7 linked regions of the Canis lupus familiaris genome follow. The protein of the gene in region 1 binds, or shares a complex with, the protein of each later gene. Links are inferred from orthologs where the notes say so. Each region holds a gene or a part of one and is shown in the gene's direction. Other genes may lie near its edges.

What was found.
Region 2: SNRPB (region 1) and PRPF4 share a complex: the UniProt entries of both Homo sapiens proteins name them as parts of the U4/U6-U5 tri-snRNP complex. The link is inferred for Canis lupus familiaris from reciprocal best matches to the Homo sapiens genes SNRPB and PRPF4.
Region 3: SNRPB (region 1) and STRAP share a complex: the UniProt entries of both Homo sapiens proteins name them as parts of the SMN-Sm complex. The link is inferred for Canis lupus familiaris from reciprocal best matches to the Homo sapiens genes SNRPB and STRAP.
Region 4: SNRPB (region 1) and DHX16 share a complex: the UniProt entries of both Homo sapiens proteins name them as parts of the minor spliceosome. The link is inferred for Canis lupus familiaris from reciprocal best matches to the Homo sapiens genes SNRPB and DHX16.
Region 5: SNRPB (region 1) and SRRM2 share a complex: the UniProt entries of both Homo sapiens proteins name them as parts of the minor spliceosome. The link is inferred for Canis lupus familiaris from reciprocal best matches to the Homo sapiens genes SNRPB and SRRM2.
Region 6: SNRPB (region 1) and PRPF31 share a complex: the UniProt entries of both Homo sapiens proteins name them as parts of the U4/U6-U5 tri-snRNP complex. The link is inferred for Canis lupus familiaris from reciprocal best matches to the Homo sapiens genes SNRPB and PRPF31.
Region 7: SNRPB (region 1) and SNRNP200 share a complex: the UniProt entries of both Homo sapiens proteins name them as parts of the U4/U6-U5 tri-snRNP complex. The link is inferred for Canis lupus familiaris from reciprocal best matches to the Homo sapiens genes SNRPB and SNRNP200.

The regions. Positions count from the first base shown.
Region 1 is NC_049245.1:19,129,752-19,133,431, forward strand, and holds part of SNRPB (small nuclear ribonucleoprotein-associated proteins B and B'), read left to right. Parts: intron 1-2,108; coding exon 2,109-2,220; intron 2,221-3,680. UniProt on the Homo sapiens protein: Plays a role in pre-mRNA splicing as a core component of the spliceosomal U1, U2, U4 and U5 small nuclear ribonucleoproteins (snRNPs), the building blocks of the spliceosome.
Region 2 is NC_049232.1:68,050,342-68,054,579, forward strand, and holds the start of PRPF4 (U4/U6 small nuclear ribonucleoprotein Prp4), read left to right. Parts: upstream 1-1,378; 5' UTR 1,379-1,506; coding exon 1,507-1,533; intron 1,534-2,481; coding exon 2,482-2,659; intron 2,660-4,106; coding exon 4,107-4,238. UniProt on the Homo sapiens protein: Plays a role in pre-mRNA splicing as component of the U4/U6-U5 tri-snRNP complex that is involved in spliceosome assembly, and as component of the precatalytic spliceosome (spliceosome B complex).
Region 3 is NC_049248.1:15,359,184-15,362,935, forward strand, and holds part of STRAP (serine-threonine kinase receptor-associated protein), read left to right. Parts: intron 1-566; coding exon 567-648; intron 649-1,204; coding exon 1,205-1,277; intron 1,278-3,551; coding exon 3,552-3,648; intron 3,649-3,752. UniProt on the Homo sapiens protein: The SMN complex catalyzes the assembly of small nuclear ribonucleoproteins (snRNPs), the building blocks of the spliceosome, and thereby plays an important role in the splicing of cellular pre-mRNAs.
Region 4 is NC_049233.1:606,621-610,372, reverse strand, and holds part of DHX16 (pre-mRNA-splicing factor ATP-dependent RNA helicase DHX16), read left to right. Parts: intron 1-690; coding exon 691-945; intron 946-1,134; coding exon 1,135-1,338; intron 1,339-1,415; coding exon 1,416-1,607; intron 1,608-2,147; coding exon of another isoform or gene 2,148-2,197; coding exon 2,198-2,308; intron 2,309-2,479; coding exon 2,480-2,595; intron 2,596-3,752. UniProt on the Homo sapiens protein: Required for pre-mRNA splicing as a component of the spliceosome. Contributes to pre-mRNA splicing after spliceosome formation and prior to the first transesterification reaction.
Region 5 is NC_049227.1:38,751,146-38,754,897, forward strand, and holds part of SRRM2 (serine/arginine repetitive matrix protein 2), read left to right. Parts: coding exon 1-851; intron 852-1,095; coding exon of another isoform or gene 1,096-1,108; exon of another isoform or gene 1,109-1,113; coding exon of another isoform or gene 1,114-1,190; exon of another isoform or gene 1,191-1,595; coding exon 1,596-1,880; intron 1,881-2,235; coding exon of another isoform or gene 2,236-2,397; exon of another isoform or gene 2,398-2,472; coding exon of another isoform or gene 2,473-2,497; exon of another isoform or gene 2,498-2,981; coding exon 2,982-3,095; intron 3,096-3,214; coding exon 3,215-3,325; intron 3,326-3,413; coding exon 3,414-3,423; 3' UTR 3,424-3,752. UniProt on the Homo sapiens protein: Required for pre-mRNA splicing as component of the spliceosome. As a component of the minor spliceosome, involved in the splicing of U12-type introns in pre-mRNAs.
Region 6 is NC_049222.1:103,842,722-103,846,473, reverse strand, and holds part of PRPF31 (U4/U6 small nuclear ribonucleoprotein Prp31), read left to right. Parts: intron 1-1,391; coding exon 1,392-1,475; intron 1,476-2,064; coding exon 2,065-2,162; intron 2,163-3,071; coding exon 3,072-3,178; intron 3,179-3,752. UniProt on the Homo sapiens protein: Involved in pre-mRNA splicing as component of the spliceosome. Required for the assembly of the U4/U5/U6 tri-snRNP complex, one of the building blocks of the spliceosome.
Region 7 is NC_049238.1:34,675,815-34,679,566, forward strand, and holds part of SNRNP200 (U5 small nuclear ribonucleoprotein 200 kDa helicase), read left to right. Parts: intron 1-22; coding exon 23-212; intron 213-309; coding exon 310-474; intron 475-708; coding exon 709-830; intron 831-1,063; coding exon 1,064-1,207; intron 1,208-1,311; coding exon 1,312-1,488; intron 1,489-1,789; coding exon 1,790-1,950; intron 1,951-2,066; coding exon 2,067-2,148; intron 2,149-3,752. UniProt on the Homo sapiens protein: Catalyzes the ATP-dependent unwinding of U4/U6 RNA duplices, an essential step in the assembly of a catalytically active spliceosome. Plays a role in pre-mRNA splicing as a core component of precatalytic, catalytic and postcatalytic spliceosomal complexes.

The DNA.
Region 1 (3,680 bases):
GGGGTGGGATTTAAATTGTGAGGGAAATGGACTGGGTGGGTGGGCCAAGCAACAGGTAGTGATGTAGCCAGCTGGTTCCTTGGTTTGCTCTCCTGTGTTAGAGGGCAGATTTAAATGGGGACGCTGGACTCTTAAGAAATCTCCTTCGTTATTAGCCCGGCAAGCCTTGCTCTCTAGTCGTAGCTGAATAAAAGTTGTAAGGAGGGCTGCTAGGCTTTTTGTTTCTCTGACTTTGTGTGCCCCTGGGTACTGGGGTAAAGGGCTCTCATGTTCTCCCCACAGGTGTGTAAGGGGGGAGAGCTTGATTTTCTGGCCTCATTGCCTATTTGTAAAGCTGTAGCCTAAAGGGCTCTCCCAATGCAGCCTGGTCTGAAACTGCTTTAAGAAGCCTCTGACCCTCTTCAGGGTAAGTGCTCAGCTTCCCGTGTGGGTTTGGGGCCAGTGATTTTTGTTGGCATTTATAGACACAATTAGAGATATTTTCTACTCTTCTATATGTAATTGGATAATTCCCTTGTCTTAAGACTCACAGATTTTAAGCTTCTGGCCTATGAAAAAATGTGGGCTAGCTTTTTGTGCATATTACATTCAAGGCATCCTGAGGCCCAAAGAGGTTATGTGACTTCTGTCATCATTCAGCTCTCTTTGGCCACGTGCAGTGGTCCATGTTATGTTGTTGGTAGCTATGAATTCCTTTTGATTCCCTTTAGGGCTCTTGTTTTCTTTTTGTGGCAAGAGGTCAAGAAGTACAAGAGACAGTGTGGTAGGGATGGCTGAGTGCCAGGTACACATTAGAGAAGGGCCAGCAGGTCAGCGTAGAACTATTCTAAATGGTTCCCTCCTGTTGTTGTTTTAATGAAACTATTCTGATAATTAAAAAATGTTTATTGGAAAACATATTTTAAAAATACATAAAAGTGTATGAAGATTTAAATACCCAGAATGGTGGGGTTTTTTTTGTAGTTTTTTTGTTTTATATGGTTTTTTGATTTTTATGGAAGAAAAATACATGCTTTTATTTAAAAAGAAAATTTAGATAAGGAAAAAGGAAGAAATGTTCACCCACAGAAAACTGCTGTTAATTTAATATAAAAAATATTAAAGGAAACCTATAAGTTTTTAAAGATCAGAGCATTTTGTCTTTGCTTTATTTTTAGGATATTAGTTTTGGCTTTTTCTTTACTTCCCCTATCTTGCTACAGTTTATTTCTCAGTTTACATTTACAGTTGACACTTGAACAACCCAGGGGTTGGGGCACTGACCCCATACAGTTGAAAATCCACGTATAACTTTTGATTCCCTGCCCCAAACTGAACTACTAATAGCCTCCTGTTGTCCAGAGGCCTTGCCAATGACCTAAACAGATTAACGTATATTTTGTATGTTATATGTATTATATACTGTTTTCTTACAATAAAGTAAGATAGAGAAAAGTTATTAAAATCATAAGGAAAATATATTTGCAGTACTGTATCAAAAAAAAATTCACATACAAGTGGCCCCACACAGTTCAAACCCATGTTGTTCAAGGGTCACCTATATAATTTGTTCTCCTGCTCTGGTAGTTACATTGGGAATGTCTGTTTTTGTGCTTTGAGGACAGAGGTGTAATTTCTATATAGTTAATTCTTTTATTGTTTCTATTTCTGAGGTGAGATGAGGGCTGTAGTGACTCATTCTGTGGGGCTGACTTGGTAGTGGAAGGGTGTTGTGTGCAAAGGGCTGAGTGGGGTTCAGTGGACTTGAGTTGTTCCGGCTGCCTCCTCACACTGACAAGGCCTTAAGCTGGAGGGAGGGAGTAGGGTAATGTCAAAGAAGGTTGGACTGCGGAAAGGCCTTCCTGATAGTTATGGACTAACATTTGAGCCAGGGCTGGGCTTTAACTCGTATCCTGTCTCTTGGTCAGTGCATCCCCTTGCCGTAGGAGACAGCCACTTAAAGGGGTGGTGAGTTCAGCCTGTGAAGACTGTCTTAGAGAAAGTTTTTGTACCATTTGTTGGGAGATAACAGTGTAAAACAGATCTTGGAGGCCCCTAGACAGGTGAATGGAGCTTTACCCTTTTCCTAATGCTTGCTTTTTTATTTGTTTTCCTAAACCCATTCTCAGGCCAAAGAACTCAAAACAAGCAGAAAGAGAAGAGAAGCGAGTCCTTGGTCTGGTGCTGCTTCGAGGGGAGAACCTGGTCTCAATGACGGTAGAGGGACCTCCTCCCAAAGATGTAAGTCTGCCTCGAGGGCCACTTTAAGGTGGGGAAGCCCTACTGTGAGCCAGACTCTGTGTTAGGTTCTCTGCATTTATTTCACTGCATTACTCACAGGCATCCTCTGGTTTTTCTCCTGCTTTTACATATAATGCAGTCTCAAAGAGGTTACCCCACAAGTAGGAAGTAGAAATGGGGAACCAGAATTGGAGGGTTCTAACTTTAAAGCTCTCCTCCTTTCCCTCAGATGCTGTACACAGTGAGGAGAAAAGGCACCTAAGGCCATCTGGTCAGTTCTTAATGTGATGGCATTCTACCTGGACCTTGAACAGTCCTCTAACTCCAGGGGGCACCTGGGAGGCTCAGTTGGTCAAGCATCCTACTCTTGATTTCAGCTCAGGTTGTGAACTGAGGGTTGTGAGACTGAGCCCCACATCAGGCTGCACGCTCAGTGGGGAGTCTGCTTGAGATTCTTTCCCTCTGCCACCCCGAACCACATGCTCTTACTTGCACATCCACTCTCAAATGAATAAATCTTTAGAAAAGAACTGGGAGAGCTCAGTTAAGAGGGAATGAAGAAACCAAAGGACTCATGAACATTAATTTAAAATGCTGGATTGTGGGGTGCTTGGGTGGCTCAGTTGATCGAGCTGCCAGCTCTTGATTTTGACTCAGGTCATGATTTCTGGGTTCTGGGATCCCATCCTACATTAGGCTCCATGCTTGGCGGGGTGTCTGCTTGAAGAGTCTCTCTCTCTCTTCCCCTTCCCTCACTTACTCATGAGCGTTCTCTCAATTAAAAAAGAAAAAGTCCTAACTCCAAATAACAGAATGTATATATTTTGTACAGTTAGAGAATAATAGTTAACATTTATTAAGCATCTGCTGTATATCAAGCAGTTCCATATTTTAGTTTCTCCTTACAAGCAGTTTTTTGAGATAAATTATTCCCACTTAATAGAAAAACAGGTTTAGTAACATGCCTGAGTGTCACAGCTAATAAATGGTGAAGCTGGCATTTGATCCCAGGCGGTCTTGGTTCCATAAACACCAGGCTCCATTTAGAAATAGAACAGACTTGGGATCCCTGGGTGGCGCAGCAGTTTGGCGCCTGCCTTTGGCCCAGGGCGCGATCCTGGAGACCCAGGATCGAATCCCACGTCGGGCTCCCGGTGCATGGAGCCTGCTTCTCCCTCTGCCCCTCTCTCTCTCTCTCTCTCTCTCTCTCTCTCTCTCTCTCTCTCTATCATAAATAAATAAAAATTAAAAAAAAAAAAGAGACTTTAGAGCGTCTAACCAGGTTTTCCCCATTTTCATTTTAAGACATCATCAAAGGAATAATTGTCCTTAATTTTACTTTTGTCCACATATGTATTTTTTTAAATTTAATGTGTAATATGTATATGTAATACTTTGTTTTGCTCTTTCACTAAACACTGTAAACAGTTTTCCAGTTAACTGTATGGTTTTTAAAAGTC
Region 2 (4,238 bases), on another chromosome or scaffold:
TACAGACTGGAAGCATAGAAAGAAAAAAATGTATCCTTTGTGAAGCTTGGAACAGAACAGGCGATATTCTCACCATAAAATACTAGCACACTGAATCCGATAATATCTTGGGGCGCCTGGCTGGCTCAGTTGGTGGCGCATGGATGGGGCTCTTGATGTGGGGGCTCTAAGTTTGAGCCCCACATTGGGTGTAGAATCACTTAATAATAAAAATCTTCCCTTTTTAAAAAAAAAAAAAAGGTAAAATCAAAGAAATAAATCAGATACTCTCTTAAGTCCGATGTAAACAAATGGTAGAGGAAGCCGAAGTTCCAAGGGAGAGTAGGGGAGGGAAAAAAAAAAAAAAAAACCCTGCCGTACAGGTTCCTCACTTTTCTGCAAACTTTGTAAAGCTCGCCACTAGGAGGCAGTACCGAGTGATGGGCAAAGCTGCTCGCTCAGGAGGCCCAAGGGCAGAGGGCAGGGGCTCTAATCCCACACGCCAACCCTCTGGGACACTAGCTTCATCTTCACAGTGGACGCTGGTTTCCTCATGTTCTGCCCTCTGTTGTCTAGACTGAGTGAGGTACGGCAGTGTAAGTGCCTGGAACACAACTTGGCATTTAGTAAACGCCCAATAAACACCAGCTATTATTATTATTATTATCATCCTAATTGTCCTTGGGGGGGGGGGGGGGGGCCTCCGTCCGGCCCGAGAATCACCCAAACTTCAAGCATCTCCACCCCCGACAGGGGGGAAAGCCCTGGCCTTGCTCCTGTCGGATGCCGCAGCCCGCCCCCCCCCCCGCCCCCGCGGTACCCAGGCCGTGCAGAGGTGCCCGTGTGCACTTGACAGGCATCGCCTCACTCCGACCCCGGTACAAACACTCGGCTGAAGACCAGCAATAAAAGCAGGCCGTGGCTCCTCCTCCGGGCCTCCGTTCTACTTGGGAGCTGGTGGCCGCCGCCCGAATCCACTGCGCATTCAGCCCGCTCCAAGGAGGGCCCTGGGACAACCTCCCGACAGCGGGGAGGGCGACCAGCTGCAGAGTGGCACCCGCGGGCCCACAGCGAGGGTTTCCATGGCAACCTGGCCCTCCGCTCCGGGCCCACCGCAGCCCCTCGCGGGGCCGGGGGCCACGGCAGGCCTCGGAAGCCCTCCATTTGCTCCGGAGCTCAGCCCGCGGCCGCGCGGCCCGACGCACCTACCTCTTTCCAAGCCTGCTCGGCCTCCTCCCGGAACCCCGGCGGCGCCCACCGCGAATCTTCAGCTAAGCGAGCGGGACTACACTTCCCAGACTGCTCTGCAGAGTCTCGTCCGCCGCGTGCTTTTCTCCTTAAGTTCACGCTACTCTTGGCGCCACGACGCTTCCCTACTACTACTCCCGTCATGCCCCACGCCACCCACGACGCTGCGTCGGCCCACTTCCGGCCAGTGACGCAGTTCCGCTTTGCCGGGCGCGCGGTGGACGGTCTGAAAACGCAGAGCTCGGCTTTCGCCGGGGTTTGGCGGCCGCGGAGCTCAGCATGGCTTCCTCACGAGCCGCCTCCACGGTACGGAACTCCACTCACTCTGGCGGGGAGCGCGGAAGGGGCTGGGGGGGCGGTTCCTGCGAAATGGGGTCCCTCGGGGAACGGGCTAAGGCGGTGGAGGTCGGAGGTGAAAGGCTGAGAGACTCGGTCCTTAGAGGAGCAGCGTTTTCCAGACCCCGAAGTACGTTCCCGTGTTTTATTTATTTTTATTTTTGTAAAGATTTTATTCATTCATTCATGAGAGACACAGAGAAAGGGGCAGAGGCACAGGCAGAGGGAGGAGAAGCAGGCTCAAGGCAGGGAGCCTGATGCGGGACTCGATCCCTGGACTCCAGGATCACGCCCTGGGCCGAAGGCAGCGCTAAACGGCTGAGCCACCCAGGGATCCCCCCGTTCCCGTGTTTTAATTCATTTGCACCCCTCACTACAGGCCCGAACGGTAAATACCTCTTCCGACTGCTCCAAAACCTGAGCTCTAGAAGGCCCAGATTCACGTCTGTGTCAGACTTCATTGCAGTTTGGCCTCCTAACTTCATATGTGTTGCCTTACTCTGAAAACGTTTGAAATGTACCGAAAAGTAACTAACTTGCCCCCCTTTAATACTGCGTTGGTTGTTCTCCTTGATACTGCCCCTGTGATGAGGGGTAACCTTGGAAATTTCATAAAACCCAAGAAGAGGTTGCCACGGAATGATGCAGACATGTTCCAAAGCAAATCTTTGATAGAAAAGTTACCAAGAATAATGATGGACTAGTTCTATTAGCCTCTTCCCGTCTGCAGAACCTAAGTAGCTTGGAGAGACACCCCGCCCCCCAGTCAGTGAAGATAACCTGAACTGGTGTCCGACCTGTCCTTTTCATTTGGGGGGAAAATAGGATTGAAGCTCAGGATGAGCTCCATCCTTTGGGGGAAGCCTAATAAGTGGTTAGTATCAGACCTTAGGTTAATCCGTGTCTTTGATTTATCAGGCAACCAAAACTAAGGCACCTGATGACTTAGTTGCTCCTGTTGTGAAGAAACCACACATCTATTACGGAAGTTTGGAAGAGAAGGAGAGGGAGCGTCTGGCCAAAGGAGAGTCTGGGATTTTGGGAAAAGAAGGACTTAAAGCTGGAATTGAAGCAGGAAATATTAACATAACCTCTGGTAAGATGCAAATTGTGAGTCCCTCTTTATCTTTGTATTATAATATCAAAAATGTTAGTTAAACTTGGATCTATGTAAGGCCATCCTTTGCCTACCCTGGTTAGCATCATCTAGAGAGCCTTTTTCTTTCTTTTTTTTTTTTTTTTTTTTTAAGATTTTATTTATTTATTCATGAGAGACAGAGAGAGAGAGAGAGAGGCAGAAACATAGGCAGAGTCAGAAGCAGGCTCCATACAGGGAGCCCGACATGGGACCCGACCCCAGGATCCCACCCTGGTCCAAAGGCAGGCTCTAAACCACTGAGCCACCCAGGGATCCCATAAAGATTTTATTTATTTATTTTTTTAAGATTTTATTTATTTTTTATGAGAGAGAGAGAGAGACAGAGAGAGGCAGAGACAAAGGCAGAGGGAGAAGCAGGCTCCATGCAGGGAGCCCGACGCAGGACTCGATCCTGGGACTCCAGGATCATGTCCTGAGCCGAAGGCAGATGCTCAACCGCTGAACCACCCAAGGTTGTGAGTTCAAGCCCAGAGTTGGGCTCCACACCCACACTTAAAAAAAAAAAAATCCTCATAGTCAGTGTGTGTTTTATTTATTTATTTTATTATTTATTTATTAGAGCATGAGCCAGGGAGGGGCAGAGAAGCAGATACCCCACTGAGCAGGAAGCCTCACTTGAGACTCGATCCCAGGACTATGGGATCATGACCTGAGCGAAAGGCAGATGCTTAACCGACTAAGCCACCCAGATGCCCCAGTGTTGGTTTTAAAACTAACTGCTAGGTTATCCAAAAAGTCTATAGTTAAGGGAAAGCCCTTTAATGGTAATTTTCTCCAGTTTACTAGTTAAAGTCATAGATATCCTCAGCTGGGGCTGGTTTAGAGAATAGGTTTGGCAAGTGTTAAAGTACTGTATCTATTTTATCTTCTGGATAGAAGATCTAGTTAACTCATTTGCTGAAAGTGCTTTGTACTTCTACTTTCTGATCTCCTCTAAGTTATGTGTGTATGTAGATGTAAGGTTGTCAAAACAAGATGATGTGAGGTAAGCCTGCGTGGCTCAGTTGGTTAAGCGTCCAACTCTTGGTTTTGGCTCATGTCGCGATCTCAGGGTGGTAGGTTCTGAGCCCTGTGTTGGGCTCCCTGCTCTACAGGGAGTCTGCTTCTCCTCCCTCTGTTCCTCCCTGCACTCCTGCACTGTCTCTCTCGCTCTCTCTCGTAAATAAATAAAATCTTTAAAAAAAAAAAAAAAAGATGACTTAAGTAATTTTAAATGAGCTATCATTTAGTTTTTTGTGTTTAGCAAAATTTAATAAACTGAGAAACAATAAAGTATGTAATAAATTAGTTCCTAGAGGATACACAGACTGCAATTGTAAGAAATTATTTTCCCCTCTGTTTGAAGATCTAGTGATAATGCTGATATTACCTGTTCTTCTTATAGGAGAGGTGTTTGAAATTGAAGAGCACATCAGTGAACGACAGGCCGAAGTGTTAGCTGAGTTTGAGAGAAGAAAGCGAGCCCGGCAAATCAATGTTTCCACTGATGACTCAGAGGTCAAGGCTTGCCTTAGAG
Region 3 (3,752 bases), on another chromosome or scaffold:
AATAAAATCTTTAAAAAAAAAAAGAATTGGAGAATTTTAAGAGTCAACTTTGAGAAAGAGATAGGGAGAATATTTTCTTCTCAGTAGTCTCAATTTAAAATTTTATGTAACCTGTATCAGGGCCTTTCATTCTCCTGTAAATTCTTGTCAGGATTTCTTGTTTTTCTTTTTTATGTTTTGCATGTTACATAATAAAGAATAGAGAAACAAATTGGAGAAATGAAATTTAAAATGTTTTGCAGTCTTGCTAAAAGGATATTATGGCTATAGACTAAAAGTAAGGATGGGCTGGTTCATGGATCTCATTTACTTAAATTTGTAGATCTTTTCCATTGTCAAAATTAGACTGATTATATGGCTACTACAGGTAAATTTCTTTTCCTTTAGAATTGTTTAAATATTTAATCAAATATTTAAATCTTAACAGTGAGGGATATTAGAGATAATGGGAGACTTCTAATACATTTATATAACATTTCATATATCTACCATATTTGGTAATCACCAAAATTACCATTATATTTATCTTTTAATTTTTTTTTTTTTTTTTTTTTTTTTACTTTTAGCAAAGTGTGGGATGCTGTCTCAGGAGATGAATTGATGACCCTGGCTCATAAACACATTGTCAAGACTGTGGATTTTACACAGGTATCAGAAAATAGAATTTATTTTAGAAGGTTTAGATTGCTGTTATTATATGCTGTAATAATGGTTGTGTATTTGGTTTGTATATTTATTGTATATTTGGGGGGATACAATTTGTTTATATTTGATTTAATTACAGATTAAGCTATACAGATTTATTTATTTGATTAATCCTAAAGTACTGTGGAACTCTTGGGTCAGTTCTTCCATCAGTAGCAGCAGACATCTAAAATGTGCAAGTAATGTTTCCTCAGTACTTTCAGAAGGGAGAGGAAAAATTTGAGGTCATCAAAGAGGTGTTTCTTAGGAGGGAGAGGTGCAGGATCAGGGCAGAGGAAGAAAATTAATATGGTAGGTGGTATAATATATTTGAACTGGAGAGCTTAAAGGGTTTTGGCAATTATGAGAAAGATAAATGTTTTCTAGAAGCAATTGGCATGTATTGCATCTCTTTATGAAGTCTGAACTTTATTTGGATTTTAGTTGGTGTTAAAATTTTAAAGAGATACAGCTATTAAAATGGCTAATCTGTTAACATTTTGCTTGTGTGTGTTTTCAGGATAGTAATTACTTGTTAACTGGGGGACAGGATAAACTGCTACGCATATATGATTTGAACAAACCTGAAGCAGGTGAGCATAATTTATATGTCTTTGGATTATATTTTCTTTTAATTTAAATGAGTTTTTAATGTCTCTTTATTTGCTACATTGTGCTTGTGTAGTTTTCTTGCAAATTAAACACTTACCAGTTTATCATGCTAAATTTTTATCATATTAAGTTTAAAAAGGTACAGAGCAGTGTTACTACCTTTGGGAGGAAAGAATGGTTGTCTATAGAAAGTGAGAAGGGTAAGATTTTTTTTGTGTATATATTCAGATTTTTAAACCATGTGAATATATTAGCTAATCAGAAGAATTTTTTTCTTTTTTTTCAGAAGAATTTTTAAAATTAAAAAATTAACATTTTTTTCATGTCTTTATTCTATCCACTGTTTTTAATGACTATATCATTTTCATCCTATGAATAAGTGGATTAACCCATCTCTTATTCTGGTCCATTTGGGCTATTTAGAAATCTTAAATATAAGTAGTGTTATGCTGAACATTCTTATAGTTGGCAAATATTTCCGCAGTTATTTCTATAGAATAACTACACAGAAATAGAATTGTTGGTACAGAAAAGAGGTACACTTGGAAGCCATTGGTAGGTATTACCGAAGTGTGCTCCAATGAAATCTAAAAATATATAGCTAACCTGTTCTGACAAGGACCAATAACTAATTTTGCCTTTCCCAATTTAATAGAAGAAAAGTGATTCTGTGATCGTAATGTGAACTTGAAAAAATTATTCATGAGATTAAAATACTGTTGAATACCATTTTAATGTATTCTTTTGTGAACTAATAGTCTGTTCATGCCCTTTGCCAATTTATCTGTTAGGATGTTCATCTTTTTATTAGTGGTTTTAAGGTTCTTATCTTCTAATTTGTCTTTTGCTTTTAAATTTCGTTAATAAAGTTTATGGTATACGCATTGTAAAGGCTCTGGTGGTGGAATTTATCATTTACTTTATGAATTCTCTTATTGCACAGAAGCTATAAAAGATGCTTTTTCAAAACTCCCTGGTCCAGATATTCGTCTCTTTTGTAGTTTCTTAATGCTTTTCTAGCCACATAGTATATATATTTCAAAAATCAGCAGATTATGATAAACAGGGTTGTATTTATTTTATATAAGTTGGTATCTTCTATATTGTATCATGGGTATTTATTATTTATTCGTAATAAATCTATGAACGTCAGAAGTTTGTATGAAAGTCAAAGTTACATTGGATATTAAGCAGTTATTCTCAAGATACTCTTTTCTAAAAGCATTTCTAAGGCGAGCAAACTGACTACATTTATAGATTATTCTTCACAGACCCAGTGGTATTTCTTTTCATTTTCTTTAATAACGTTATGCCAAAACATAAAGCATTTGGACCTCATTTCATCATGTATCTTTCTGACTCAGCAAGGTGGTTCAGGTCTTAGGCGGACATTTTTCCATCTTTTACCTTTCTCAAAGCTGTTTTTTGAAAGTGCCTCTTTACTGTATTGTCAATAGAAATAATAGCAGTTAACTGCTTTTACTGTATGTCAGACTCCAGGTTAGAAACCTTAGATGTATATTCTCATTTGATCTTCATTCTCAAGCTATGAGGTATATGGTAACTATTGTTATCCCATTTTGCAGATGAAGAAATGGAAAGGGTTAAGTAACCTTTATTTCAACAGGTTTATTTCAACAGGTTAAATGACTTGCTCAAAATTGTGTTGAATGGCTTTGCCTCCAGCATCTGCTTTTGCCCAAAGATAAGAGTAGGGTTTTTTTTTTCTTGTTAATCTTTTGCAGGGAAAGTCTCCAGCAGAGACAGATCCCCCCCCCCCTTTTTTTTTGATGCTTTGTTCTCAATGTAGAAATATTCTTGGGAATTACTGCATTGCTTTTTATTTTCCTTTTCTCCTGTCAGCCTCTACTTCCCTCTTTTTTCCTGTTTCTACCAACAGGCTGGGAGGAGGGTCCCAGTGTTAGTGATATGTTGGATGAGCTTCTTTTATTTCAGTGTGGTACAGTTATGCTACTGAAAGCAGAAACAGCCTGGAGGGAGCAATGCATTCACTCCCAGATACATATAGCAGCATTGCTCTTGGGTTCTTTGTCATGCAGATAAATTTTTAATCCAGTGTAGAAAAACTAAATGTATTCTGTGGAAACCATAAGTTTTCATTGTGTTGGGCTTTGAAAAGTTGCAGCTTAATTTAAAATGTACTTCTTTTTTCTTCACATAGTTAATTGTTCCAGTATTGCTTAGTTTAAAAAACCAAATATTAACAAATATATTCTACATTGTTTCATTTTAAGAACCTAAGGAAATCAGTGGTCACACCTCTGGTATTAAGAAAGCTCTATGGTGCAGTGAGGATAAACAGATTCTTTCAGCTGATGATAAAACTGTCCGGTAAGTAATTTTTCTTTAGTAATTTAAAGTTTGAAACATTTGACCTTAGTGCTTATATTTTAAATATTTCTCATAACTGTATGTAGGAAGAATTATCTCTATAC
Region 4 (3,752 bases), on another chromosome or scaffold:
GTATTCCCCCCCCCCCCTTTTCCAAACTATAGTCATTTGATTTAAGACCAGGGAGCATCTAACTAAGGCAGAAGATTACCTTCTGTTGGCACATCCAGTGGTTACCATTAGTCTCACTTGTTTTCAGATTGAGACCTGTGCTTCTAAATGCTGGTATTAGCCCTTTAGTTTTCCTCCTTTCTTTTTTTTTTCTTTAAACATTTTATTTATTTATTCATGAGAGACACACACACAGAGAGAGAGAGAGAGAGGCAGAGATACAGGCAGAGGGAGAAGCAGGCTCCATGCAGGGAGCCCGACATGGGACTCGATCCTGGGTCTCCAGGATCAGGCCCTGGGCTGAAGGCGGCGCTAAACTGCTGAGCCTCTCAGGCTGCCCTGTTTTCCTCCTTTCCACTAAGTCGAATAAAATAGAATAAAACCTAAAACATTCAAATAACCCTAATGCATCTATATTGACCAGGATGGCGAAGCTGTCCAGAAGGGCCTTCAAGCTGGATTGTGCTGCTGAAAGATAGTGTTGGGGGTCAGTGTGTGGCTTTCAGAGAGGCCCAGTTTGGGGCAGGTCAGGTTGGACATTGCAGAAGGACACTGCTGGCCTGTTGGGGGATTTGTCACTCTTACAGATAGGTAAGGAAGGGGGTTGCTGTTCCAGCAAGATGAAGATTTGGCTACCCTGTCCTGACCCAGGTTCCCGAGCTGCGGAAGAAATCACGCCGCGAGTACTTGGCTAAGCGGGAGCGAGAGAAGCTTGAGGACCTAGAGGCTGAGCTGGCTGATGAGGAGTTCCTTTTTGGGGATGTAGAGCTGAGCCGACATGAGCGGCGGGAGCTCAAATACAAGCGGCGAGTGCGGGATCTGGCCCGAGAGTACCGGGCGGCTGGGGAGCAGGAGAAGCTGGAGGCCACCAATCGTTACCACATGCCCGAGGAGACCCGAGGCCAGGTGAGGCAAAGCAGAGTCCACTTTAGCCCTGCTCTCCAAGCTGAGTGGAGGGAAGTCTTCAGGGCTTTGGACAGGGCCTCCACTGGCCCCTTCTTGGTCTTGCCTTTCCTAGTGGGTAGGGATAGTGACTGGAGAGGAGAGACCTGGGAAGAGGGCATCCTCTGTCTTCACATGTCCTTCTCTCCACAGCCATCACGAGCTGTGGATCTAGTGGAGGAGGAATCAGGCGCCCCTGGGGAGGAGCAGCGACGCTGGGAGGAGGCCCGGCTAGGGGCAGCATCTCTGAAGTTTGGGGCCCGAGATGCTGCCTCCCAGGAGCCCAAGTATCAGCTGGTGCTGGAGGAAGAGGAGACCATTGAGTTTGTCCGGGCCACTCAGCTCCAGGGCAACGAGGTGAGCAGGAGAACTGTGGCACGTTCTAACGAGGTTGGGAAGCCGACCCTGAAGCTCACACCCCTCCTCCTCTGCAGGAGCCATCAGGCCCATCGCCTCCATCCCAGGCCCAGCAGAAGGAGTCCGTGCAGGCTGTCCGCCGCAGCCTCCCAGTGTTTCCATTCCGCGAGGAGCTCTTGGCTGCCATTGCTGATCATCAGGTCCTCATCATCGAGGGTGAGACGGGCTCCGGGAAGACCACCCAGATCCCGCAGTATCTCTTTGAGGAGGTACAGTCATCCGCACCCTCCAGGTTACCGGCCACCGGCCCTTGACAAGCACAGTCCTGTCAGAGCTCTTTTCACATGTTGTTTTGAGCAGTCACTTACCTTTTCATCTTTAATCATAGTCTTCTCCATTAAATTGTGAGTTTAAGAATAAGGGCAAACTTGTTTCCTGTTTCTGTTCTCACTTCTAACACAGTATCTGTGTCTAGTGCCAGCATTCGTGTTGGAAAGATGCATAAACAGGTAGATGGTGGGGTTGGGACCTTCCCATACCAACCCATTCAGCCATCGGTCCTCTGCAAAGGACAAAGAACAAGGAGTCAGAGGATTCATTTTCTTGCTTTTTCACCTTCTCTGGCTCCCCCTTGCTTCTGGGTCTGCCCTAGTTGGTCTGTCCTTTTCCATCTCAGATCTAGCTGAGCCTGAATGTGATCACCCAAAAGTCTGGGACCCTCAGAGGGTCGGGTTTTCAGTTTCTGTCTGTTCCTTCATCTCCCCCTGCCCTGTCGTGCACTTACACCTTTTTTCTCTGAATTATCCTAGGCCTCAGGAATATATTTAGCAAAGGGAAAACCTCTTCTCTTGTCATTCAGGGATACACAAAAAAGGGAATGAAGATTGCCTGTACCCAGCCCCGGAGAGTGGCAGCCATGAGTGTGGCTGCCCGAGTGGCCCGGGAGATGGGTGTGAAGCTTGGGAATGAGGTGAGATCTGTGGGGCCTAGGTAGGGAGGGGAGCCTCTAGGGTCTGGGACGTAGCCCACACTGCATAGGGCTTCACACCACACGTCCAGGCACTGACCCCTCATTCCCTAGCCCTGCACTCCCTTCCAGGAGTACCAGCCCAATCTCGATCGTTAATGGTCCCCTTGACAGGTTGGCTACAGCATCCGCTTTGAGGACTGCACATCAGAACGAACTGTCCTCCGCTACATGACAGATGGGATGCTCCTCCGGGAGTTCCTCTCTGAACCTGACCTTGCAAGTTACAGGTACACATGGGGTCACCACCTCCCACCAGAGAGCCACCACCATTCCTGCCCAGTCTGCTGCATTCTGACCCTTCAGCACCTTCCTGTGTCTTCTTTAATCTCTAGCCTATTTTTCCTTTCTTGTCATCCAGCTAGTTTGGCCTTTGTCTTCTGATTAGCCCACCGGTTCTTTTTTTTTTTTTTTTAAGATTTTATTTATTTATTCATGAGAGACAGAGAGAGAGAGAGAGAGAGAGAGAGAGAGGCAGAGACACAGGCAGAGGGAGAAGCAGGCTCCATGCAGGGAGCCTGACGGGGGACTCCATCCCAGGTCTCTAGGATCATGCTCTGGGCTGAAGGCAGGCACCAAACCTCTGAGCCACCCAGGCTGCCCAAGCCCACCAGTTCTTGAAGCTTGATGGTGTGGACAGTCCTAGGACTGACCTGTAGGCACCATGGAGATGGGGTAGAGGGACTGCAGAGATAGACCCCCCACCCCCCATTGCTTGCAGTGTTTAGAAAAACACCAGGATGGCAGAATGGTGCTCTAGAGACTTGAAAAGCCACGTGAAGACCCTTTGAAGAAACTTAGAATGTCCAGCTTAGAGAGAAGAGACTCAGGGAGACATCCTGGTTCCTTCTAAATATGGGAAGGGCTGCTCCGTGGAAAAAGAGGTCAAGCTTGTTTCACGTGACTGCAGCGAGCACAACTAGCAACCACGGGAGTGGCTATAGGGGAAAGAGGTTTCAGTGCAACACTAAGAAGCGAGAGTGGTAGAGATTGAGGCCCTCAATTGAGGTAGAGATTGTGTGCTGGGGCCCTCATCTTGGGCCTTTGGCCCAGGTCTTGGAGTAGCTTGGTCTGTGAATAGTACATTCCCAGTGCTGGTGTTGGCCAAGCAGAGCTTGGATAAATATGTGTTTAGGAGGAGAAGGGATCTGTGCATGGGCTGCTGGTGGGATCAGGCCAGCTGAGCAGTATGTGGTTTCTCAAATCTTAGGAGGCTGTGAAGTTCTGGTCCTAGAAGATCACAGATGGAGCAACAGGACAAATATGATCTGAGCTTTCACATCCCTTGCAAAAATCTCAGAAACCATGGAAGGCCAGCTAGTGCAAGAGTGTTTAGGGTGTGCGGTTTTCCTGTCAAGCCAGCCTGCTTTGTGAAACAGCTGGGGAC
Region 5 (3,752 bases), on another chromosome or scaffold:
GCTCTGGCAGCTTTGAGTCTCACCGGCTCTGGCACACCCCCAACTGCTGCAAACTATCCTTCCAGCTCCAGAACACCCCAGGCTGCAGCGCCTGCAAACCTGGTGGGTCCTAGATCTACACATGCCACAGCTCCTGTGAATATTGCCAGCTCAAGAACCCCTCCTGCCTTGGCACCTGCAAGCCTCACCAGTGCTAGAATGGCTCCAGCCTTGTCTGGCGCAAACCTTACCAGCCCCAGGGTGCCCCTCTCTGCTTATGAGCGCGTTAGTGGTAGAACCTCACCACCGCTTCTTGACCGAGCCAGATCCAGAACCCCACCAGGAGGGCCAGGTTCCAGAACCCCACCATCTGCCCTGAGCCAGTCTAGAATGACCTCTGAGCGGGCTCCCTCTCCTGCCTCTAGAATGGTCCAGGCTTCCTCACAGTGTGTTCTTCCTCCAGCTCAGGATAGACCTAGGTCACCTGTGCCATCTGCTTTTTCTGACCAGTCCCGAGCTTTGCTTGCCCAGACCACTCCTGCAGCAGGGTCTCAGTCCCTTTCCTCTGGGACAGTGGCCAAGACCACGTCTTCTGCTGATGACCACAATGGCATGCTCTCTGGCCCTGCCCCTGGCATGTCCCATCCTGAGGGTGGGGAACCACCTGTCTCCACGGGGGCCCAGCAGTCTTCTGCATTGGCCGCCCTGCAGCCGGCAAAGGAGCGGCGGAGTTCCTCCTCCTCCTCCTCCTCCAGCTCCTCTTCCTCATCGTCGTCATCATCGTCCTCTTCCTCCTCCTCCTCTTCCGGTTCCAGTTCTAGCGACTCAGAGGGCTCTAGCCTTCCTACTCAACCTGAGGTAGCACTGAAGAGGTGAGAGGCTTGACTTTTAGAACTGTTTCTATGGGGCAGGTTTTGGGGATGGTTGGTGGTGGGGAGGGAGAAGCCCTGTCCAGAGGTTCTCTGCTCTTTGATGGAGGTATGGGGAGCTTGACCCTTAAGCTGGGGGTAGAAGAGAATGCTGGGGTGGGGGCAACGGGGGGGGAGGAATGGGTCAGATAAAAGTCTCCTAAGGTTAATTCTCTAGAGGATAATGATGAGTTTTCCGTCTCTACAGAGGACAGAACTAGAGGAAATGGACTTAATTTTACAGCAGGAGGGATGGCAGTTAGACCTCAAGAGGAACTCCCTGGGCTGGAAGGATCTTCAGAGGTCATCCCATCCCTCTCCCTGCCTCCAGGCAGGACGGCCCCTCCCCCAGCCAACCTGCACTCACAGGGGCCTCCCCAAACTGTGGCTCTCCGTGGAAGGAGACCACCCAGCTCACCTTCCACACCTGAGCCCAGGAGCCTTATTCCATCAGGGACATTCTTGAGGTTTAGCCTTGATCCCTTGTGCTGCGGGCCCCAGCCTGTTGCTTGTCTTAGCAGAGGTTGGGTCAGCTCGGGGCCACTGCTCTCCAGAGAACGCGCTCACTGGCTCTCTGAGCTCTCGGCCTGGAGAGCACTCACAGCCTTTCTGCAGCACCACTCCCCCACTGCCGTTCCTCCAGGCCAAGGAAGGTAGGGTTGGGGCTGGGGCAGCTCGTCTCCTTGTGACACTTTGCTTCTCCCACAGGGTACCCAGCCCCACCCCAGCCCCAAAGGAGGCTGTTCGAGAGGGACGTCCTCAGGAGCCTACCCCAGCCAAGCGGAAGAGGCGCTCTAGTAGCTCCAGTTCCAGCTCTTCCTCTTCCTCTTCATCTTCCTCCTCGTCCTCCTCCTCTTCCTCCTCTTCCTCCTCCTCTTCCTCCTCCTCCTCTTCCTCCTCTTCTACTTCTTCCTCCCCCTCCCCTGCTAAGCCTGGCCCTCAGGCCTTGCCCAAACCTGCAAGCCCTAAGAAGCCGCCCCCTGGTGAGCGGAGGTGAGTGCTGCCTTGCTTGAGATGGAAGGGGTGGGGTGAGACCCTGGGTGTGAGATCCCATGAGATCCCTGCTGGGAATCTCAGGTGGACTGTGGTGTCTGGTTATGTGGGAGGAGTCGGGCTCTCCTCTCCCTACCACCTTGGTTGTGTCCCATTGTGGCGAAGGGCTGCACCATCCGAGTGGGTGCTCCAGTCAGAATTGTGGAGTAGTCCTAGGTTCCTTCCTCTCCCTGCCCCTGACATGCATCCTGTTCCCTGCTCCCAGGTCCCAGGGATTCTAGCTTTTAAATCTCCCCGTTGCTACTGCCAGGGCTTTGGTCTGGCCACCGTCATCTTCTCCCGACTCTGTCCACAGCCTCTTCCCTGTCTCCCTGCCTCCACGCCATTCTCTTCCACACGTAGCCAGAGGGATCTTTCTAAAACGCACATCTGGTTACTTCCCTCCACTCCACAAATCCTTCCGGGACGCCCTGTGGCCTGCAGGATAAAGCCCCACCTCTGCGGGAATGGCGTGTGAGGCTCTTCACCAACTGGCCTTGCCTGCCCTGTGTTCTCCTCTCCTGCCCGCCCCCACACATGCCCTGTGCTCCAGCCACACCCAGCGCCTTGCAGTCTAAGGAGAACCCCATGCCTTTGGACATGCTGTTCCTTCTGCCTGGAATTCCCTTGTCCGCCTGGTGAACTCCTCGTTCTGCAAGACTCCGCTCAAACAGCACCTACGAGAAGACTACCCTGCCCCTTCCCTGCCCCACATCCCCTCCCCCGGGGTCCCCAGACCCACGTACATCGGTCCTTGTGGGGCTGCTTCCCATACATGGGGCCAGGTGGGCCTCCCTTGGCCTGCCTTCACCACCAGACTGAGCCCCTCCAAGGGCAGGGATTGTCTTTATCTTTGCATCCCCCGCTGCACCCCGTGCCCTGCCCCTTGGGGCACTCGGTGGATGGTGTGCGGGCGGATGGGTGAGTGAGCAGACAAAGGTGGGTCTGAGGCTGGCCCTGTGTGGTATGAGGTTTGGTGGTCAGGACCTGGGGGGTGGTCCTGAGTGTCGGCTGGCGGCTTTGGAAGTGCGTGGTGCTATGGGGGCTTGCTCTGCTCCTCAGGTCCCGTAGCCCCCGGAAGCCAATAGACTCTCTCCGAGACTCTCGGTCTCTCAGCTACTCGCCTGCGGAGCGCCGCCGCCCCTCGCCCCAGCCCTCGCCACGGGACCAGCAGAGGTAGGGCCTCCTGTCTGTAAGCCCAGTCTGACCAGCATTGCTGAGAAGTTCTGAGGCCCAAAGGGGCCAGTTTGATGTTGCCTTGTGTGTGATCTGATCTCTTCTCGGTGTTGTTGCAGCAGCAGTGAGCGGGGTTCCCGCAGAGGCCAGCGTGGGGACAGCCGCTCCCCAGGCCACAAGCGCAGGAAGGAGACACCCAGCCCCCGGCCTGTGCGGCACCGTTCCTCCAGGTGCGTCGTCCTGGCACTCAGGTGCTAGTGTCCTTGTGAGTGTGCGGGCTTGGCGGGCCACTTCCCTGACTGTCCCTTTCTGTTGCAGGTCTCCTTGAATCTTTCTGGGGCTCATTCTATCATACCCCAAGTTCCGGAGCTGCAGGGAGTGTCCCCTTTCCCCAGCAGAACTGTGGGAAGGGTCCTTGTCTGCCCCCCTTTGAGCCCCGGCAGCATCTTGGGGGCGGGCTCTCCCCCCCCCCCTTTTTCTTTGTTCCTGTGAAATGTTAATCTCTGTGAGTTTTTCCTGGTTCACGTTTTTGGGGGGTTTGGGGTGGGTGGGAATGAGAATGGGAGTTGTGGGAGGGGAGGATACAGTTGGGGACACCCTGGTCTTGAGTTAGAAAGGGTCTGGGAGGCCATGATGCCCCCTCCTTTACCCCTAAGT
Region 6 (3,752 bases), on another chromosome or scaffold:
CACTGGGGAACCCACCCAACTCTCTGCTCTCAGGATACTCGGTGTCTGGCAAAGCGGATAGGTCAGGTCTGGGCAGTGGTTGTGGGCGGTGCCTGCTGGGGTGGGGAGAGCTGGGGGCATTGGAGCCACCAGAGCGGGGCTGACCCTGCCTCAGGCCATACCTGAAATTGGCTTTGAAGCATGAATACACATACCAGGCCAAGAACAGCAGCTATATGCCCTGAGAAAGAGAACTGTGTGTGCAAAGCCTCACATGTCTGGAGTGGCAGAGGCAGCAGGAGAAAGTGCCAGATCCTGCAGGATTTTGAGCACCAGGCCAGCGAGCTGTGGGGAGCGGTAGAAGGGACACTCCCTGATGTCGGGTCAGGCTCGGAGTTAGGTCAGACCTGATCTCACCTGGTGTTTGGTGGAGGAGGTGAACACAGAACACCTCCAACCTGGGTGGCGGTTATGTCTAACGGATGTGGCAGGAGTTCCGCAGGAGCACAGAGGAGACATCTGACCCTCCTGAAGGGGGAGGGAAGGATCCTGAGGTGCTGTCTGAGTCTCAAGATGCAGAAACATTTGAGTGATCAGGGTTAAGAATGCAGGTGCTGGGGCTAGATCTCAGGTCTGCCATCTGCTGGGTCCATGGCTTTAGGCCACATCCCTCCATTTCTCTCTCTCTGCCTCAATGGTCTGATGTGATGCCAGCCTCCCCAGATGATAGTGGTAAAACAGGTTAATACCTGTAAGGCACATAGAGCAGTGGCACTTACGTGGTGAGTCCCATGTGTGTTGGCCACTGCACCTACGGCCTGTGACCATGTTCTCACTGTCATCATTGTTAAAACCTGGAGAGGAACCTTTTGGAAACAGATGTTGAGGAAGGGCCATGCCAGGGAGGGGGAACAGCATATGCAGAGGCCCAGAGGAGAGGAAGCAGCCCTGAGTGCTCGGGCACTGCAGTCAGTCCTTCCTGGCTGGTGTGTGATAAGATGGTGGTGTCTTGAAAAAGTGGGGCTTGGACGGTGCAAAGGCCAGACTGTGGAGTTGGAGAGTCAGCAGGTACCTACAGAGCAGTGCCCGTGCGCCAGGCACTATTGTGGGCATCTGGGCACTGGGGGTGCAGAACTTGTCTTCATAGTGTTTCCCGTCTGGGGAGCTTGCACCTCGGCCTCAGTGGTGTGGGGATCCCCTAAGGGGTTAGTTCCGGGGCGACACGCCGTGGTGTCTAGACTGGCCTGGAGAGAGAGAAATGGGAGGTGTGCCAGCGTGGAAACCCTGGAAAACCTGGAAAACCTCCAGGTTTTCTTATTAGCCTCCCAGCTCCCTTCCAACTACACCTCCTGACTCCCCTGGCTGTGGGAGCCTAGACACTCACCCACCAAGGCTGCTTCTCATCTTCACAGTGATGGGACCTGTTGAGGCGGCCCCTGAATACCGAGTCATCGTGGATGCTAACAACCTGACCGTGGAGATCGAGAATGAGCTGAGTGAGTGGCAGGAAGGGCAGAGATGGCCCTGCCTGCTGTCCCTTCCACTCTCCTCCCATCCACAAGGAGAGGACAGGCAGGACCCTGGTTACTTTCCCCACTGGCCTTCCCCAAGATCCTGCCCCAGACTCCTCATACTAGCTGTAGTCCAGATTCAGCTGCCATAACAGCAGCTTAAAAAAAAGAAAGTGTGCTTTTCTCCGATGTGAGAATCTGGATGAGGAGTCCAGCCCTGGAGTCAGGCTCTTTCTGTCTTGACCTGCCACCTGTGTCAGGGCACAAAGTGACTGTCCACCTCCAGTCATCACCTCCACATCCCCACCAGCAGAACAGGGAAGAAAAAGAGGGCACAGTTCTTTAAGGGGGTGACCTGGAAATTGCATGCATCACTTCATATGATATCCTGTAGACCAGAACTAACTTGCAGGGCCACACCTGGCAGCAGGGGAGTAGCGTTTTTGCTGGGTACCCACGAACCCAGCTAAATTCAGGGGTTCATTTATTTAAAAAGAAGCAGGGAGATGGGTGTTGCGGACAGCCAGTGGAGTCTGCCTGCCCCCTTATCAGCTACCTGTTCTCCCTACCTTAGACATCATCCATAAGTTCATCCGGGATAAGTACTCAAAGCGCTTCCCTGAACTGGAGTCTCTGGTCCCTAATGCACTGGATTACATCCGCACGGTCAAGGTGAGTGGACAGAGGTGGGGACTCAGGAACAGTGGAGTTCTCTTGACTACCCCTCATGTGAAGGGGAGCAGGGAGCAGGTGAATGACCTGGAATGTGGTTAGTGAGGCTGCTCCAGGCCTCAGCTGCCTTTCTCGTTATTGAGGCCTGCAGATACTGGCAGGGGCCGAGTGGTGGCTCAGCTGCTCCAGGCTCCCCAGCAAGAAAGGGATGAAGCCTGGAAAGGATGTTCTCATGGCTCCTCTGCCACCCATCCAATCCTGCTGCTTCCTTGGATGGGTCTCCCAGGAAGGGCTGGGAGCTGCTTGAGGCTGAGGGAGTAAGGAGGGAGATGAGGGGGTCTCTCATGCCACCAACAGTGGTTGGAGCAGGTGGCATTGAGTCGATATCTAAAGGTTGATGCAGGGGCAGCCATGCAGAGATATGGGGGGGAAAGCCTGGAGTACCAAGAACGGGAGATAATGACAAGCTGTGGTATGTTCAGAAGGGAGGAAGTGAGGGCAAAGTCAATGAGGTTGCATCCCCTGTGACCCCCAAGGCTTTGGGCCTTCTGGAAAAGCCATGAGAGGGCCAGATACTAGTGAGAGTGGGGACACCGGTGAGGAGATTCCTGTGTGCTGTCAGGAGGAGGTGAGGATGGTGCAGGGGGCATCCATGCAGGAAGCAGTGTGGTCAAAGTTGCATTTTGAGTTGCTGCAGACAGTGGGTCTGCCTGGTTCTGGTTCTAGACCAGCAGTGCAGGAGCAACGGTACCGATGTTCTGAGTGGTGAAGTCCTGGGAGCTGGGAGCAGGCAGCCTTCATCCAGACCCCAGATGTCCCCAGAAGAGACTTAACTAGGTGCAGGGGCAAGAGAGCTCCTCAGGCCTTCCTGAATCCCTGTGCCTCCCCCTCTTGCCTTCTCACCTCCAGGAGCTGGGCAACAGCCTGGACAAGTGCAAGAATAACGAAAACCTACAGCAGATCCTAACCAACGCCACCATCATGGTCGTCAGCGTGACTGCCTCCACCACCCAGGGGTGCGTGCATAGGGTGGGACCATGCACTGCAGCCCCCTTGAGCCCATCTAACAGCAGATGAGGATCTTGGGGTCCCAGCGATACAGGTGTCCATCTCAGGAGGACAGTTTATTTCTGTCTCATGAATGTTTAATAAGGGCCCCCTGTAACCCAGGTTCCATGCTGGGCCCTAGGGTGCTCGGTCAGTGGAGAGCCTGAGGCCTTGAGTGCTGAGGTGAGCCAGGTACACTGCTAGGCCCAGGGTGCTTGGTCAGTGAGGAGTCAGGCCTTGAGTGCTGAGGTGAGCCAGGTACCCTGCTGGGCCTGGAGGGGCTCATTCAGTGGGGAGCCTGAAGCCTTGAGTGCAGAGGCAGAGGGCCATCCCATAGAATGTTTGTCTCGGGCATGTTGTCCCTCGTTGGAATGAAAGTGTCTGAAGTCAGGGACCTTGTGTTGGCCTCTTGGTCTCCACCTTCCCCTCTGGCCTCTGTGCCTAAGAGGAGGAACTGTCTTGAACCCCAGAGCAGAGTCCTGGGGTGTGGAGACCTCTCTTGGGCTCTCATTCTGTTTGTTGAATAAATGCCAGCCAAGCACG
Region 7 (3,752 bases), on another chromosome or scaffold:
TCTCTCCTTTTCCAATCTACAGGATTTCTTCAAGAAGTTTTTATATGAACCTTTGCCAGTAGAGTCCCACCTCGACCACTGTATGCATGACCACTTCAATGCTGAGATTGTTACCAAGACCATAGAGAACAAGCAGGATGCCGTGGACTACCTGACCTGGACCTTTCTGTACCGCCGCATGACACAGAACCCCAATTACTACAACCTGCAGGGTCAGTGGACTGTGGAGTGCACAGTATCCTTTTGTGGTTCTCATGGCCCTTGCCGGCCATCTCCTGGTGACTCCCTACTTCTCTCTCACCGTTACAGGCATCTCCCATCGTCACCTGTCTGACCACTTGTCAGAACTCGTGGAGCAGACCCTGAGTGACTTGGAGCAGTCCAAGTGCATCAGCATTGAAGACGAGATGGATGTGGCACCCCTGAACCTGGGCATGATTGCTGCTTACTATTACATCAACTACACCACCATTGGTGAGGGGCCGGCAGGGGCTGGTGTCTGGGGAGCCCAAGCTAAAGGAGTCTCATGCAGGGGCCTGCAGCCCAGTGGGTGAGAGGGCACAGGGCTTCTAGCACCCTGTGTGTTCATTAGAGGGATGTATTGTGGGGTAGTACAGGGGTAGGGTAGCCCAGGCAGTTAACTTTCCTCCCTCCTCCTTTTCTACCTGCTTCTGACTCCTCCCCTTTCTCCTTACCTTTGGCTGTCAGAGCTCTTCAGCATGTCCCTGAATGCCAAGACCAAGGTGCGAGGGCTTATCGAGATCATCTCCAATGCGGCAGAGTATGAGAACATTCCCATCCGGCACCATGAAGATAACCTCCTGCGACAGGTGAGGAGGACATCGTGGATTCGGGACCACATCTTTAGAGTTGAAACTTAGCCTGTGTGCCCAGAGCATGCCGTGTTTCTGCCACCACAGGAAGACCCCAACACATCACTCACACTTCTCTGTTTTTAAGGGTTGTGAGCTTGCGGCAGCGGGTGGTACTTTGGGCCTGAGAGCTGTTCTTGGGGAGGGTCACTTGTCCATTACCAGCTCTTTATTTTTCTTCCACTCTCCAGTTGGCTCAGAAGGTCCCCCACAAGCTGAATAACCCTAAGTTCAATGACCCACACGTCAAGACCAACCTGCTTCTGCAAGCTCACCTGTCCCGCATGCAGCTGAGTGCTGAGCTGCAGTCAGATACAGAGGAAATTCTTAGCAAGGTATGGTGTGGGTGCAGGTGTGGGTATGGAGTGGAGGGGCTGGTGGTGGCCTGTGAAGTAGCAGTTCCAACCTTTCCTTCTCTTGCACTCCTATCCTGGTTCAGGCAATCAGGCTCATTCAGGCCTGCGTGGATGTCCTCTCCAGCAATGGGTGGCTTAGCCCTGCTTTGGCAGCTATGGAACTGGCCCAGATGGTAACCCAAGCCATGTGGTCCAAGGACTCCTACCTGAAACAGCTGCCACACTTCACTTCAGAGCATATTAAACGTTGCACAGACAAGGTGAGTTGGGTCTGGACCTGGATGGTTGGATGGCTGAGACAGGTGTCCTGGGATTTGGGGGGTGGGGGGGTTGTGTTTGGGGAAGGGTGAGTCAGAGCAGGGGGGAGTTCTAATTTCTCTGAGGGTGTTACATATTGAGATGCTAGAGAGCCTGACAGTTGTACAGTTGTGGGCTGTGTTCTTTCTGAAGCTGTGTATGGATGCTCTGATGGTATAGGAAGTAAGATTAGCAGCTGTCGAGCCAAATTCCATTTGCTGTTACTCTGTGTTCTCCTTCCCTGACCTCTGAATACCCCTGCAGGGAGTGGAGAGTGTTTTTGACATCATGGAGATGGAAGATGAAGAGCGAAATGCATTGCTTCAGCTGTCTGACAGCCAGATCGCTGATGTGGCCCGCTTCTGCAACCGCTACCCTAATATTGAGCTTTCTTACGAAGTGGTGGATAAGGACAGCATCCGCAGGTGAGCCAGGGCTGGCCGGGCGCCCTGCCCCAGGGTCCCTGCTGGGCACACAGTGACAGGGCCATCCCACCGCACTACCTCGGTGCTGATGCGCTCCCCCCTCTTGTCCCCTACAGTGGTGGGCCGGTTGTGGTGCTGGTACAGCTGGAGCGGGAAGAGGAGGTCACAGGCCCTGTGATCGCACCTCTCTTTCCACAGGTAGGTCCTAGGAGCTGGACAGAAAGAAAACTGATGGATGGAAAACTTCCTGAAATTTCCTTCTAGAAGATAGTTTGACAGAGCTAATTATTTATTTATTGATTTAGATTTTAATTTTTATTTTATTTAAGGATTTTATTTATTTATTCATGAGAGACACAGAGAGAGAGGCAGAGACACAGGCAGAGGGAGAAGCAGGTTCCATGCAGGGAGCCTGACGTGGGACTCGATCCTGGGTCTCCAGGATCAGGCCCTGGGCTGAATGCTGGCACTAAACCACTGAGCCACCTGGGGATCCCTAGCTAGCTAATTGAAACTAAATTGTCAAAAGGCATCTCAAAAATAAACAAACAAAACAAAAAACCACAAAAGGCATCTCAAATGAACTCCATGTTTAAGTACCAGGATGAAGTTTCTTTTGGAAGACTTATCCATCCACTAGATCCAGAGTTCAAGGTTACATTGTCACTTCGGGAGGGAAATTTAGAGTAATGACAAGACACAAGGCTGAGAATTTAATCTTGGGGCTATTGGTGGTTATTTGGGTTTTTTTTTTTTTTTTTTTTTTTTTGCTTTAAAACAATTTAGGGGGCAGCTCCGGTGGTGCAACGGTTTAGCGCTGCCTGCAGCCCGGGGTGTGATCCTGGAGACCCGGGATCGAGTCCCACATCGGGCTTCCTGCATGGAGCCTGCTTCTCCCTCTGCCTGTGTCTCTGCCTCTCTCTTCGGTCTCTCTGAATGAATAAATAAATAAATCTTATTAAAAAAAAAAAAAGCCAGGAAGTTTAAAAAAAAATAAAACAATTTAGGAAAAAAATAAAATAAAAAAATAAAACAATTTAGGTGAGTGGTCATTGTGAAAAACACCAGTTACACAGTATTGTCAATCTCTATGAATGTTAAGATGAATTTGTCTTTTTTTAAAGATTTTTATAATTTATTTGAGAGAGCACCAGTGGTGTGGGGAGGGAGAGGGTGCCACGCTGCTGAGTAGGAAGCCCAATGTGGGGCTTGATCCCAGGACCCCAGGATCATGACCTGAGCAGAAGGCAAGGACTTCACTGAGCCACCCAGGCGCCTCATGAATTTGTTTTTTTTTTTTTTTAGATTTTATTTATTTATTCATGAGAAACAGAGAGAGAGAGAGAGAGGCAGAGACATAGGCAGAGGGAGCAGCAGGCTCCATGCAGAGAGCCTGATGCGGGAATCGATCCCGGAACTCCGGGATCATGCCGATTTAAAGGCAGATGCCCAACTGCTGAGCCACCTAAGCATCCCATGAATTTGTCTTTAAATGGTTCCAAGATAGTTGGGCTTTTCTATGTGGTGGATCTTCTCCTTTCTCACTACCACTTAACTCCATTTTCAGTTACTTACTACTTTATGACCAAAAAGAAAATCTGATCTTTATATGAGAATAATTGAGGACTGAAAGCAGAAATCAGAAACATTGTAATGTTTAATTTCACAAACTAGTGGTTTAAAAAATTCTGGGGAAAGAGTTCATTAAACTGGAACACCTGGACTTTCTGACCGGGGTGGCCAGTGCAAAGGCTTTTGATAGAGGCACAGCCTGCTTTGGATCCTCTTTGTTGGCAGGCTCA